2 linked regions of the Diceros bicornis minor genome follow. The protein of the gene in region 2 purifies or fractionates together with the protein of the main gene of each other region. This does not show direct contact. Links are inferred from orthologs where the notes say so. Each region holds a gene or a part of one and is shown on either strand. Other genes may lie near its edges.

The links.
Region 1: the proteins of AMFR (region 2) and ERLIN2 purify together in Homo sapiens (affinity purification with western blotting; 4 studies listed by BioGRID and IntAct, with this or other methods). This does not show direct contact. The link is inferred for Diceros bicornis minor from reciprocal best matches to the Homo sapiens genes AMFR and ERLIN2.

The regions. Positions count from the first base shown.
Region 1 is NC_080768.1:34,487,914-34,495,786, forward strand, and holds the start of ERLIN2 (erlin-2), read left to right. Parts: upstream 1-4,863; 5' UTR 4,864-5,530; coding exon 5,531-5,602; intron 5,603-6,068; coding exon 6,069-6,190; intron 6,191-7,503; coding exon 7,504-7,585; intron 7,586-7,873. UniProt on the Homo sapiens protein: Component of the ERLIN1/ERLIN2 complex which mediates the endoplasmic reticulum-associated degradation (ERAD) of inositol 1,4,5-trisphosphate receptors (IP3Rs) such as ITPR1.
Region 2 is NC_080771.1:9,983,621-9,991,149, reverse strand, and holds the start of AMFR (E3 ubiquitin-protein ligase AMFR), read left to right. Parts: upstream 1-4,508; 5' UTR 4,509-4,628; coding exon 4,629-4,889; intron 4,890-7,529. UniProt on the Homo sapiens protein: E3 ubiquitin-protein ligase that mediates the polyubiquitination of lysine and cysteine residues on target proteins, such as CD3D, CYP3A4, CFTR, INSIG1, SOAT2/ACAT2 and APOB for proteasomal degradation.

The sequences.
Region 1 (7,873 bases), on a different chromosome or scaffold from region 2:
GCTACAAGGTGGAGCAAGGAGATCACTAACACTAGATTCTTACAATAACCCAAGTGAGAAGTGATGAAGCCCTGAACCAGGACAATGTATACAGGGGGGATATAGGGTCAAGGAATAATTAGAACTCCATAACTAAATGCATGGGGCAGATTAGGATAGAGGCCGAGTGCCTGGCGTGGATGCTTGAGTGCATGGTGACGCCTTCAATGGGAGGAGTACGTTTGAGGGGGAACTACAAGTTCAGTTTGAGACATGATTGGTTTGTCCCCATCCAACATCCAAAGAGATGGTATTCTAGTCTGTTACTCATGGCTATGGATATGCATTTGGGTGAGTCAGAAACAACCACATAACTTGAATCTTGAGTACACAAGAGACCTTCCAGAAAGAGAAGGTAGAGAGAGAAGAGCAGTGGGTCAAGGATAGAGTTCTGAGGAGTGGCTGAGAATGAGCTCATGATGGAGACTACAAAAGGAACATTTGGACAAGCAGGAGGAAAACCAGGAGGGATGGGGTCACTCATGGAGGCCAGGGGTAGGAGGTTTAAGCATTAAGGGGTCGGTCAACAGTACCAAGTGCATCAGAGAGAGGGACTGAAGGACCAAAAACAAGGGGATGGAGAGTGAGGAAGTAAAGACAGCAACCGTAGGTACTTTTTCAAGAAACTGCTCAAAAGGAAGGAGACAAATCACGTGAGAACTAGAGGTTTATGCAGGGTCAACGGAGGGGCTTTAAGAGAGAGGAGAGAGAGGGAGACTTGCACAAGACTGCAGGCTGCAGCTCAAGATCTGCTAGAGTGAGGAGATCGTTGAAGGCTCTAGGTTCCTGGAGGATGAGATTAAGAATCCAGGTGGAAAAGACTGGCCTAGAATAGAACATGGGTTTCCTTATTCTTTGATATTAACATACCAGGCACATAAGGTATCTCTTTGTCTACAGCAAAAAGGCATCTATCAATGATATAGAGAGATGTATGTGGACAAAATGCCATACAATCTTTTTTTAAAAATTCCTAAAGTTACTATGGATTCAGAGATGTCAAATGAATGGTCATCCCAGGCAAAACAAGCCAAGCCACACCTCTAACCACCAGGCCTCTCAGCGCAGTTTCCCAGGGTAGCAGGCTGCTTTCCCATTACTCCCCAAAGGCGCTGTGGACCTTAACCAAGTCCCCTTTCTGGAGACTTCCTCCCCTGTGCCCTCTGTTTCTCCATGAGTGAAATAAATGGGTTAGATTAAAATCACAGGCAACAATGTATATGTCCATCAACAGATGAATGGGTAAACAAATTGTTTAAATAATTCTACAATAGAATATTACACAGCAAGAAAAAGGAATGAACTATTGACATACTCAACAACATGGATGAATCTCCAAATCATTATTCTGGGTAAAAAAAATCCAGACAACCCCCCCCAAAAGAGTATATACTGTGTGATTTAATTTATATGAAATTCTACAAAATGCAAACTAATCTACAATGACAAGCAGATCAGTTTCAGCTTGGGAATTAAGGAGTCATAGAGAGGGGTGGGAGGGAGAGATTACAAAGGAGCTTGAGGAAATTTGGGGGCATGAGTCATGTGTTCATTATCTTGATTGTGGTCATATACATATGTCAAAACTTATCAAACTGTACACTTTATAGGTACTTTATTGTATGTCAATTATACCTCAATAAAGCTATAAAAACATATAATCACAAAATGATCTTTTAGGTGACTACCAACTGACTTCCAACTCAATTTTTTTTTTCAAGACTTCTCTTTGATCCCTTTACCGAACTCCCTTGAAGAACCCCAAGCAAATATCCTTTTGTTGTTAGAAGGCACCAATCCTGGTTTTTCCAACTGAAAATAAGAGGGGAAAGTTCTAAGTATCCTTCTTAAGAATTAAGGACATAATTCTTCACTCCTCTTCCCCCAAGCTCACCAAAATCGTACTGGGATCAAATGTCCTGAAAGATGACTTCTAGTCTCTGTTTAGAGCATAAAATAAGAAGAAAAATCAAAATCAAACAAAAACGTTTTCCAGCAACTTCCACTCTTGTGATATAAATGAACTGAAGCCAAAGATGTTAAGAGTTGCCTGGTTCCTTTGGAGTTAACCACCTGGTCATTAATAAAAAGGGCTCTAATTGTGAAAGAAGGGGTCTCTTCTATCTTTGAAGTGGCACTCTCACCAACAATTAGCTTGTTAGAGGACTAAACAAACAGCAATCCAGACATAGGGAGATGTGGATAGCTGTCATGGGAGTATTTTTTTTTTTTTTATCATGCTTCAACTTACAACTGCACAAAAAGAACTGGCCCAATTTAAAGTTTCGCAACTTCTGACCATCGGTCTACATTCCTGAAAGGTTACACGTGAAATAAATGTGGTGTGTGTGTGTTCAGTTGAATCATTAGTTCCTAATTCATTTACTATAATGAAGAAATAGACTTGGGATTATTTGAATTCTGTCTTTGCAATTCACAAGCTTTGTGATCTTGGGCAATCCCTCAACTTCTCTAGGCTTCAAGTTCCTCCTCTAAAATGGAGTTGACCTCAAAGGGCTGACCTGAAGATTGTATAAAATGAGAAAGGCATAGGCCCTGGGACATGGAAAGCACTCACTAATGGTTTATGAAATCTGCATTGTAAATATCCATTGAGGTATCATTTCAGAGACCCTTATCTCTTCTGATAAGCCTTCATTGGGTTATTACTCAATACCACATAACTTTAATTTTATCCTTCCCTCACCTTTTGTCATATTGATAATCCAAATCCACAAACAGGCAAGAACACATTAATGGAATCTGCTATTTAAAACGGCAATAGCTAACACTTAAAATGTGCCAAACGTTTTCCTGATTTGACATTTAATCCTCACAACAGTCCTATAAGGTTCAGACTATTATGACCCCCATTTTACAGATGAAGAAACTGAAGCACAGATAGATTAAGTCATTTTCCCAAGGTCACACAGCTAATAAGAGGCAGGGGGAGGGGAGGCAGCCCCAGATGTAAACCCAGGCAGTCAGCCTGGAGTATCTATGCTTGGCCACCATACCTCGATTTTTTAAAAATGGATTTTTAAACACTTTTGTTAAACAAATCCCCGCAGACTTACCTCCATGATAACTTTGGATATTGAGTCATAAAAATCACAGGTCTCTTAAGAAAGGGATTTTCAGAAATGTTAGATCATCATCTACTGAAGTCCACCCCCTGCCTCTCGATGGGGCCACAATGGGACAACTCAGGCCTGGTGAGAAGGATCCCAAGAACAAAATCCCACAACTTCCGCTCATAGTTCATTCCCAAGTTTCACAGTCAGGAAATTCTTAAATTACAACTAATTTAAATCCTTTATGCAGGCTAAGCCCCATTCCTTGGGCTGAAACCTCAACATTTCCATTTCTCTTACTCATTCACCCAACTATTAAATAAACCTTGATTAAGCATGCCCAGCTGAGTTATATCACCGCACGGGGAGAGAAAAAAGCTCTCAAGTTCTGACAGGATCAATCAGGAGATTGACCAAGAGTGCGGGCATGCGCGCGTGCTGGGGGTGGGATTTCCAGTGGGGGGCGGTGGGGAGAGGTCCTCATGTATGGAGGTGAACACAGAGCTCCCAGGCAGTGCCATGCAGCCCACTTGTGGCCTTAACCATATAATGCTGAGCCATCCCCACACAAAGTCCCAGAGCAAACCCGCAGAGGGAGAATGAGCCAGCCCCAAGCAGCCATGCCTGGAAAACCTACAGTTTCCTATTCCTGTGTCCTAAATCTACCACCACTAGCTTGCCATCTTCCCCGTGTAAAAGCTTTTCATTTACTGAAGGTTGTAATGAAGTGGACTCCAACTTTCTCTTCTGCAAATAAAATAACTTCAGTGGCTGAATTAGAAATGCCCCAATGTGATGGTGCTGAACAGCGAAGGCTGCGGACAACGGGAGGCCCTTAGACTAGGAGAGGCAAAGTCTGGATCCTGGTCCCGGTCCCGCCACGCCTTCAGTCTGTTTTGACTGAGCACCTGAGCACCCGAGCACCCGGGATGCTGAAGGGAAGAGGCAATCCCTGCCCTCAAGGAACTTACAGTCTAGCCAGGGAGACAACGAAGCGCACAAGCCCCTGTGTCCTGCGGCAGGAGTTAACTTACAAAGGCAGTTAAGGTCCTGATGTTAAGGAAGCGCAAAGGAGGCTTTCATCCACTGTTACCCTCGCACCTCACTGATCTTAGATTTCGTTCACTCAAGTTGGGATGATTCCTTCTTAATCGACTTTATGGTGCGGGGACCTCAGAGGCCAAAGCTCCTAGAAAAGCAAAAAGGCAATTCAAAGCAGCGACTGTTGATTAGCGACGTAAGGGTGCTAATCTGCACATTTAAAAGACCCTGCGAGCACAGGGCTAGAATGGTTGCAACTCGCTGGGACCTGCTCCGGGAAAAAAAAAAAAAACAGGCTTGGCCTAATGCGGAGGGGCCTCCTCAGCAAACTCCAAAGTCAAAATCTCGGAAAGTGACACCCTCGGTCTCAGCAGCCGCGGTCACCCTCCACGCGCTCCGCGCACCCCAGCCCTGAAATCCCAGAGCGCAGTGTTGACCGCCCAGACCGAGCCGCGGGCACCCCCTGGCGGCCACCCGCGGACACTGACCGCTCGGAGCGCGAGGGCGGGGCGAAGAACTCGGCAGGGAGGGAGTGTGATCCTCTCGCGTGGACTAATGGCGTCATCAGAGCGACGGGTCCGGAAGGAAGTAGCGTGTCGAGGGGTGTGGCGGTTTCTGCGGTTGCACAGGAGGTCGGACGAGTACGGAGCGCCTGGAGGGACAGCCTGGTACGCGGCCCCCGCCCCTTAGTGGGCGCGCTGGGCCTAGTTGCGGCTGTCGGCCGGAGCCGATGAGCGGTTCTCCCGGGCCCCCGCCCCAGCAGCCTCGCTCCCTCAGCCGGCCCACTCCGGGAGCGAGAACGCGACGCTCCTCTGTCCCTTCCCTTCCCGCGATCCCGCAGGCGGGACCGAGCGGAGGCTCTCGGAGCCCAGCCCCTCCCCAGGGCGTGTGGGACGCGCGACCCTCTCTCGGAAGAGGACAGGGAAGGGGCGCGAGGTGGGGCGGGGTGACCTCGGGGAGGGAAGAGCTGTTGCGGAAAGGATGCGGCTGCAGATCGGTAGCAGGAGGCCGCCACCGTAAAATAAGCGCCTCGCGGGTGTCCGCGCCCGAGCTATGTTGGACCCGGGCGGCAGAACCCACGCTCTGCGCGGGTGGGCCGCGCACGCCTGCCTGCCTTCTGCTGCCCGTTACCATAGGGTTTCCAGATCATTCAGTGTTCGGAAAATGAGTCTAGATGCCAACTCTTTCGCATCCTGGTGCCTGAACGCAGTTGTCCCAGGAGCCCAGAGTCCTCCCAGCTTGGGGAACCCCCTTTCTCTAACCATGGAGTTGGGACCTGTCAGGGGCAAAGTGTCAGGTATATGGGAGGGAGTGTGTCTTCAGTCTTGTTCAGAACCCTGTCCCGTGAAGGGCCAAAGGAATAACTGGGAAGGTGCATGACAGGCCAAAGAATCCCACCTTGGACCCCTGCTCGCATGCTGTCTCTGTCGCTCCAGCATCTGAAAGGAGTAAATAATGGTTTCCTGTGAAATGACGGGCAATTAGGACTGGGAGGCTCTGACCAGAATTACATAGCCACAACTGCCGGTCATCTGACATCCTCTGTAATTTGGGCCAACATACTGCAGCTGCCTCTCTTCCCTTTTACTAGTATGAGTGGCTCCAGTGACAGCACGTGCGTGTTCACAGGAAGGGAAGGCTGTGTTCTGAACGCTGCCCAATTAGCACGGGTTCCTCGGGCCACGGCTGGAGCCACTGCCTTTTCAAGAGGTGGGAATATAGTTCTACAGTTAAGGAATGGGAATGTTGACTGAGAACAAGGTTTGAAGAGAGTTGTAGACCTAGCCATGTGTTGATACTATAGCAGGCTGGATAAGAGCCGCTTTGAGGGAGCTCAGCTTGGTGAGGTGCTCTTGCTGTCATAGCTTGTCTCCTGCATCAGACCACACACATTTTCCCGTATTTTTTTCCTAGGATAAAGGTTCACTGATGGCTCAGTTGGGAGCAATTGTGGCTGTGGCTGCCAGCTTCTTTTGTGCATCTCTCTTCTCAGCTGTGCACAAGATAGAAGAGGGACATATTGGGGTGTATTACAGGTAAGGCAGAGACAGGGAGAAACTTGCAACTTCCTCTTACATGACTCTCCTTCCTAATCACTGTCTAGCAGATTCTGCTGGATATCTGTGTTTATATTTTGTTGAATAGGGGAGTCTTTTAGATTGAGCTTTTGTGTCAGTGACCATGGGGAGGGGAATACACACACATACATATATACACATATATAGTTGTAAATATACAATTTAGTAGTCTAAGTTGGTGCCATGGGTGGTGATTGATAAATGTGTATAGATATGTAGAGACAAAACCTAAAGGAAACCAGTGCTCCTTGCAGATCATCTCTGAAACATTGTTTTCTCCTACATCCCTTTGGGCATCTTGGTGCCACAAGGTTACCTCTGATGAGTACCAGTTCTTGATGGCAACTTGAGGAGCTAGCCTGCTGTGCTAATTTGAACCTACTGTTTAAAATTAACATTTCAGGAAATGTGAAAGAGCCTGCAGGTTTATTTATATTAATTAAGGCAAGCCTGAGGATAGTGGTTCTTACAATAATGGAGCCCATTATGTCACTATTTTATTGCTCTTTTTAAAAAAAAAAATGTATCTTCGACTTCATAATGTAAAGTGAAGAAGCACTTATAAATCTTGAGGTGCTTTCCTTTTAGTAACCTCCATAACCAAGTTGTTGCTTTAGCCTTTATGAACCCCTTCGTGTATGTGCCCTATGATGCTTATTTCTAGATTTCCAATAGCAAGTTCTAAATGTCTGATTGAGTTTCCCTCTCTACTTTAATTATTTCTCCCCACCACCTGCTTTTATGTCCCCAAAAGAGGCTTTTAATTTTGTTATTTACATATAACTTGATTAAAAGATAACTCGCCTGCCAAAAAGTAATATATTAAAATGATTTCTAAAGCATACTTAAAATTATTCTTTTGGTTGTTCATGTCACTGGACTCCAACATTAGTGCAGTTAATTGATGGCAGTATTACTGCATTTAACTGCCCTAATGGATTTCCACAAACTCAAGGGATATGACAAAATAAAACAGACTTCCTCTCTTATCTGAAGTACAGCCAGGGATTCTGCTGTCTTTATTCTACTTAACCTGTGTGCCTATCTTTCTCACTGCAAAAGCGTGAATAATGGTTTTATGTTTTACCATCAGGCTTCCTAGAATATTACAGTTGAGCCAAGAGGAAGAAAGGGATCAGTGGACGTGGCTCTGACACATGTCACCCTATATTAAACGTTTGTGGGGCTGAAGAGAAAGTTGGCCGAAACCATGTTGCTGTAATAGATACCTCTTGCTAAACTGAACCTGCCTCTCTCTTCCTCCTCTGCAGAGGCGGTGCCCTGCTGACTTCCACCAGCGGCCCTGGTTTCCATCTCATGCTCCCTTTCATCACATCATATAAGTCTGTGCAGGTATACTTGGCTTGTGTGGTATGGATGGACGACTGCAGATTTGGGGTGCTGACTAATGCATGATTTGGAATTTAGCTATTGGATGAGTATAATACCTTTTCAAGGAATCATTTAAGAGTCAGTTTTATTTATATATGTATATATATATAGAAAGAATGAGGCTCCACGAGCCATTTACTCTGGAGCTTGATTGTTGAACTAGCTGAATGGGGTCATTTCCTTGGCCCATCAGCCCCAGTTGGGCATTATTTCTTCACTTCAAGACAAAGCCAGGGAGGAATCTGTTCT
Region 2 (7,529 bases):
TTAATGTTTTTACTAGTTCATAGTGTTTGGGACAGTACGTGCCCATCAGTAAGACTGCTTCAGAGAGTCTGCAATTTTGTATGTCGCATTGCCGGAGATGGGTTAGTGGTTTTTGACTGTAATACAAGTCAGCTTCCGTAGCATGAAGTTTGATTTCCCATAATTCTTCCACTTGTTTTACATCACTTATTTGGGTTAAACTGGACTCACTTCAGGCAGTTTGCCTTTGTTATTTAAATATGTGATGAGAAACATAATGCTGTTAATTTGACTTGAGCCATAAAACACATTTTAATATTAGCTTGTATTATATGTATCAAGGTTGTTTTTGTGGAAAAAACAGGCTAAAACCTAAGTAAGTCTAGATTAAGCCAGTTTAGGTGTAATTTGTATTTTAGTGATGGATTGTATTGTAAGAGTAGAGGTAAATTAGGAAAATGTGTTTTGCTGTTCTGTTGAGGGGAAGATCAGTGCATTTAAAAACTTCAACTTTTGGTTACTGTGCTTACATCATAGTGTACAAGCATCATTTATAGTTTGGCTTTGAGGATTTTTCTGGCATTAAGTTTATAGAAATGTATAAAAGAAACTGTTTAAGTTTTGGTTATATTTTTATATTTGTAAAGTAAAAGTTTGATTAAAATGGTCACTGTTTTTTTATTTTATTGTCATTTCAATAAAAAAAAATTTAAAATAGAATGACTGATTGTTTGTGTGGCTCCAACCTTAGTGTGCCATTAGAAATCCTGCAGGGTTCTTTTTCACTGTTAGTGGCTAGGGGCCATTAGGTGAGAGACAGCTTGACGTAATAGCAAGGGCCTGAAGACCTGGGACATCGATGTTGCCCTCCCCTCACACTCCTCCATTGTGTGTTAGCAGTGTTCATAGGCAGATTCAGTTTCCTCCAGTGTGAAGCGGTCACTGGATTTGGTACCTGGTGCAAATAAATGCAAATAAAAAATAACCTTATATTATTGGGTTAGTTTCACCTATTCTCATAGCTGGGAAGATTGGGATTTAGAAATTGCCTCACAATTGTGTTAAGTCTGTGTTGTTATATCATTGAGGACTCCATTTCCTCATCTATAAAGAGTGTTCACTCCTACAGTTTTTTTTCCTCAAACTTGCCAGACAGTCGTGATGTTCTGTGACACCATGCTTGCTGCTTATGTAATGCTGTGTAATTTAATTTCAGCATCTTAAATAGAAACAATTTATACCCAAAATATGAGAATGTATGTGTAATAAAACCATAGCCTTGAGGCTTTATAGCTGAACAAATATTGAACAAAACCTGATAAAGTTATTGCAAAGTTCTGAAAATTTTACTACTTGTGTATTTTATAGCAGGCACCAAAGAGCTATGAAAAATTATGAAAGAAAAGGTAAAGATTGAAATATACCCATTAACTTAGTTTTTTCCGCACAAACTTGAGGAGTTGGTTAGTTTTCCTCTTCTGCTAGATTTAGTAGTGGAATACATTGGTCCAGCTAAGGAAACACCGGAATTCCATGGGAGTCCATTTAAGGCTACTGGATTAGATAATGATGTTCAGTTCCTAGGACGTTGAGAATCTTAACAAAAAGCTACTCAGCCCTTCTCACAGGATGGTGAAAATCACATGAGGTCACGCATATGAAAGGATTTCAAATATTTTAAAAAATGAAAATAGCAATACTGTATCTAGGTGTGAATCTTACTCCATACAAACTCTGGTCTGTTTGAAATGACACATTTCCTTTAAATCAAACTAAATCAGAGCCATCATCCCACAAAGATGGAAGGAAATTCAGTCTCTCAGTCACTATTGGGAGTGAGGACCCACCCAAAGTCTCACAAGAATCCAGAAGGCATAAATGGTACTCTGAAATGAAAGTGGGGGTGCGGAGAGCTCTGGCTTCCGTCACGGACTCCACAGACCCTTTCTTGTCCAAGCTGGACCAGGCCCTTAAAGTCTGGTGCTGTTGCCTCCATGTCACACTTGGGCCTTGGAACTTGACTGATACAGGTAGTCCCTGTGCCTATGGTCCAGCCTTCCTGGGTACACTAAATATTCATCCCTTCTGTCTCTTGCCTCCTCCCCTGGTCCTCTCATGGAGCAGGATGCAGCACAAAGAACCAGAAGCATTAGCTGACTTTAGAAGGTGGGTTCCGTCCTTGCCAAAAAGAAGCCATGAGAGATGGATGTGCAAAAGCCTGGTTACCTTCTTGGAAAGGGAAAGGAAAAAATGTTGGTAGAACAAATACTAATTATCCTAGTAAAATATCCAGACACAAACATCTAAAATCTTTTAAAATGTGAATTAAAAATTATATAGTTAGGTTAATTTCACCTATTCTTATATTGAATATTGAGAAAGTTCAAGCTTCTAAGTTTAATTTAGTTAGACTAGTTTTAATATAGTCAGAGCCAAAAGTAAAAAGTTGCTATTAGACACTTCACAAAGTCATTCCAGAAAACAGGTTGTCTAAAGTTTTTTTTTAACACTTAGAAAGTAGTGGTTATCTCAAAATATAATTTAATAAAGAGTATAGCACTTTGAAATTCAAGATGGTGGAATATTGTACCTTAATAAGGGCAGATCTATTAACAGCAGCCTCTTATGGTGATGGGACACAGTTGGTGTGGTATTATGTAACTGTAATGTGACTTAGACTGAATATGGATCACCTGATAGTGTGGTTTAAAAATTATGGGAGCTCAGATAAAGTAGAACAGTAACTTCCCTGGAAAATCGCTATCTTCATTTTTTCAAAATAAAGCTTTCCTTTATTTTACCAATAAAGTTGAAAGTAGCGTTTTAATCAAATGGCTGCAGGGTGGAGAACCAAAGGGAACTGAAGTCTAATATTCATATAGACTTCATAAACAAGTATGTGTAAATTCACATGGACATTGAGCTCTATATGAGGTCTATATAGACCTCATATAAAAAAGTTGGTGTGTGGCCCCCACAAAAGCCAAACTGTTCTGTTCCATCACAGGCCCTTTAATAGGATGATCCTAAAACTTCCAAAGTAGATGGTAATAACCTTGAGAGATCTTTTTTAGTTTCCAATTAGTAGGCTTTTCGAATTAGAGTATTAGGTATAAAAGAGATTTTGAAGACAATTTCTTTTCTTTTGAAAGTTTGTAAGATGCATCAAAAATTGACTGAGCACCTGCTGTGGGCCAGGCACTATTACAGGCCTTGGAGATACAATGAAGAATAAGACCCCCAAGCTAACATTTTTTTTTTGGTAGCACTTTTTCTTTGTAACAGCTTTACTGAACTATAATACACATTGAGATATATCTCACCATTTAAAGCGTACACTTAAATGATTTTTAGTGTATTCAGAGTTGTGCAACCATCACCACAATTTTAGAACATTTTCATCACTTCAGAAAACCATATTTAGTTTTTACCCTCCAGTTCCCTCATTTCCCCATCCCTAAGCAACCATTAATCTACTTTCTGTATCTGTAAATGTATTTGCCTGTTCTGGACATTTCCTACAAAGAGTCACAATATGTGGTGTTTTTTGTCTGGCTGCTTGCAGTTACCATGTTTTCAAGGTCCGTTCACGTTGCATCAGTACTTCACTCATTTTTATGGCTGAATAATATCCCATCATATGGATATCCCTTATTTATGGATTCATCACTTGGTGGACATGAGGGTTGTTTCCACCCTCGGGCTATTATAAGTAATGCTGCTACCAACATTTGTGCACAAGTTTTGTGTGGAGGTATGTTTTCACTTCTCTTGGGTGTATACCTAGGACTGGAATTGCTAGGTCAAATGGTTACTCTTAGGTTTAACTTTTTGAGGAACTGAGAGACCGTTTTCTGCAGTAGCTGCACTATTTTACATTCCTACCTAGTGTACGAGGGAACACTTTTATTTCCCGCTAAATGCGGTTCGTTTTAGACTGTGCGAGGCTACTAGCAAACAGCAGAAACTGAAGACAGCTTTGTTGGGGAGAAATTTCAGACTGTTAATAGTCTTTCTTTGAGGTCAAGGCCTCTATTATTCCCTAAGCACCATCTCCTCTTTCGGCCACCGGGGAAGCTGCTAGGCCCACAGGGGTGCTCAGGGGCAACCTGCTTAGGAGGGGTTAAAGGGAACGAAGGGCCAGGCGGCCGGACGCCCGGTGGCCCGGGTGCCCGCGTCCTGCGCGCCGCCACGCGGCCTGGGCCCCACCGCCCGTCAGCGCCGCCGGGCCTGAGTGCGCTTCGGCTCGGCCGGGCGGGTGCCCCGCGCGTCCGCGGGCGGCGGAGCTGGGCCGGCGGGGCAGCACGCTGGGCGCTGGGCCTTGGCCGGCCCGGCGGCGGCGCGAGCGCTGGGGGCGGGGGACGGAGGCCGCGCCCCCGCGCCCGTCCCGCCCGCACCCTGCGGGGGGCGGCGGCCCGCCCCGCGCCCGCCGAGGCTCTTCCGCGCCGGCAGGGGCAGCAGCGGCAGCGGCGCGGGGCGGAGCGGCGCGAGCAGCCAGGAGCGGCCCGGCCTGGCCCGGCGCGGCGGCGGCGGCGGCGGCGGCAGCGGCGGCAGCGACGCCAGAGCCCGTGGGCGCCGTTCGCGAGGCCGCCGCGGCGGCCTGGCCGCAGCGCGGGGAGGCCTGGGGGCCGGAGGCCGCCGCTGCCGCCATGCCGTTGCTCTTCCTCGAGCGCTTCCCCTGGCCCAGCCTCCGCACCTACACGGGCCTCAGCGGCCTGGCCCTGCTCGGCACCATCGTCAGCGCCTACCGCGCCCTCAGCCAGCCCGAGGCCGGGCCCGGGCGCGGCGAGCAGGAGTCGCCAACGGCCCCGCTGCTGCCGGAGCCGGCCGCGCTCGCCCGCCCGAGCGCCGGGGGACCCCGCGCCCGCGACGTGGCCCAGTACCTGCTCTCGGACAGCCTGTTCGTGTGGGTGAGCGAGGCCGCCGCGAGGGGCGGGGGCCGCCATGTCACCCATTATCTGTGGGGGGCGTGGCTGGGGCCCGGGTCCCCTCCCTGGGGCCCGCCGAGTGAGAAGCCTGGGGCCCCGCCCGCGAGCGCGCTGCCGGAGGAGGGGGGCTGTGGGGCTGGCCCGGGGCGGGAGGAGATGGGCGTGAGGAGGCGCGGCCGAGTTGGAGGGCCTGAGGAAGGGGTCGGGGGGGGCGCGGGGGCGCGAGGGAGGGAAGAGGTTAGGTGCTGGAGGGGCGGAGTAGAAGTCAAAGATGGGGAGCGGGGTGGGGGTTCCTGAGGGCCCCCCGGGGAGGAGACTGGAAGCCCTCAGAGAGCAGGCTCGGGGGAGGCTGGGCCCGGCGGGTCAGTGGCCCCGCTGCTGTGTTCCCTGGTGGAGGGAAGCTGACAGGCCTTTCTGACCCGGTCGTGCACGGCAGTGTTGTAGGGTTTCCCCTGGAGAGGAGAGGGCACAGCCGGAATTCGGGGTCGAGTCTGGGAGCATTTAGGCATTTGGGTGTTTGGACGTTCCTATTCGGCGAGAGGCCGTCTCCCACCACTTTTTTGCCGTTTAGCCTGCGATTGTCCTCTTTGGGTCAAACAAACCTGCAGACCGTGCTTCCTCTCCTGCCGCTCTCACCTGGTGATTCGTCACGGTTTCCTTTGATGTCTGAAGGCAGCAAAACACTCATCATTTTAACTCAGGATTTCTCCTTTTGGTGATCCATTTTAAAACAAGGTTTCCAGTTCGTCTGTCAATGCACGATAAGCAGCCTTTACAAGGCAGACATGCTGGGTTCGCTGATTAGAACAGATAATTTCAGGCGGGGCAGATCAGGAGTATTTTGGCTAAAGAACTTTGCTTCCGCCTTGGCCTAATGTAAATACTTCTTTATATAAACCCTACAGTGATCAGAAAAGTTGCTGCAAGGTTGAAGTGTGTCGCTTGGATATACTGTGGCGTCTTGAGTCTTGTCCCCTCCTGAGAGTTCCCATTTGGGATGGAGAGTAGGCTGTAAATGACTGAGATTAGTATTCCAAGTATATAGAATGATATACAACTCATTTGTAATAATTAATCCCACTGTGCTTCATCAGGAAGCAGTGGGATTTAGGAACTCCGTGGGCTGTGGATTAAGTCTCCTGGTCCTTCTCATGAAGAGATTAGTGGAAGGCAGTGGAGGGTGAGGTTCGGGTGCTCTGCTGCTGTGAAGTTGGACCTTACAGAACTGAAGACGGGAAAAGTGAAAGAACTCAACTCCCATCTCTTGTTTAATTTCAGATCTATTTTTGTGTTTGACTTAAGCAGGTAAACAAGTTAAAGTGATGTGAAGAGGGTTTTTGCCAGATGTTAACATCATCATGTAGTCTTTGACATATTTTTTTAAGTATAAGATATGAATAAGCCTTTGAGAAGGAACCACTATAGTATTTATATAACAACTACTAGTAGTGATTCGTGATTCTTTTTTCCCTCGGAGTTTCTTTTTACAAAACCCACGTTCAAGTTCCAAGGTTAACAGCTCTTCATAAAATATTACATAAAGGCCTGTTGATTTTTCTGTGAAAATTATTACTTTTAAGAAAGTTTCCTTTTCTTCCCAGCTTTTTCAGTAAAGGACTTGCCTCATGCAAGTTTGACATTTCTTCCTGTCTGTTTCCTTTCTCAATTGATCTTCTTATTGTTTTTCTTCCATCTTTGCTCCTTGGTTTTCACGCTTCCATCATGGCCTTCCTTGGTTTCTCAGACCCTCAGCACCCATTACATGGTTTCTGCTTCACTAGCTGAGTAGGAATCACAATCTCAGAGGCCTTCCTCCGTGGGCTGACTGATAGCTTTATTGAGTGAATATGTGGTGGGGCCTTTGTCAAAATGGATCTGTTTTGCTCTCTGTCCGAAGGCATTCAGATTCAATTTTTTAAAACCAAGCAAGACAAAACAAAAGCTGATCTTTTGGCCAGTTTGCAATCTGGCTGCTATTATTTGGTGTATTGGAATGTCTAAAACTTATCTTTGTAGAGCACAGTTCAGATTAGTATGGGTCTGATAGCATCTCAAGAGGTTTTTGGTTAACAAACTCATTTCAAAACCCTCAAAGGTACTATTTGGAGCACTCTGGAGGGCATGGCTGTGAACACTTTCCCCCTACTCTCAAAGCAATCCATATACAAATAAGGCAAAATTCGATAAATGATAGTAGATATATAAAGAAAATATGGTGGAGTTTGGAGGAAAGAGAAAACGATGCCCAGGGAAGGATGCATGGAAGGTGATATTTGAACCCAGCCTTGGAAGGTGGGAAGGGTCTCAGCAAGCAGCAAAGGGCATTCCAGGTAGAGAAAACAGCATGTGAAGCTCAGACTGGAGTATGGAGGACAGGGGAGAGCACGTGCAGAGCGGTTCATAAAGTCGGTTGTTAAATTGAAATTACATTGGATCCTTTCATTTAAGAGTGAGGTTGGGAAGGTGAAGGGGAGACCCAGGAGTCACAGGAGATGGGGGAAGTGACCCTGCTGTGAGAGAAAGGGAGAGGTGAGCAACCCCTCTGAAAGTGTATTTTTCAAAGTGTGGACCTCTGGCAACCTGGTTCATTGTCACCTGGGATACTTGTAAAATGTTGTTTCT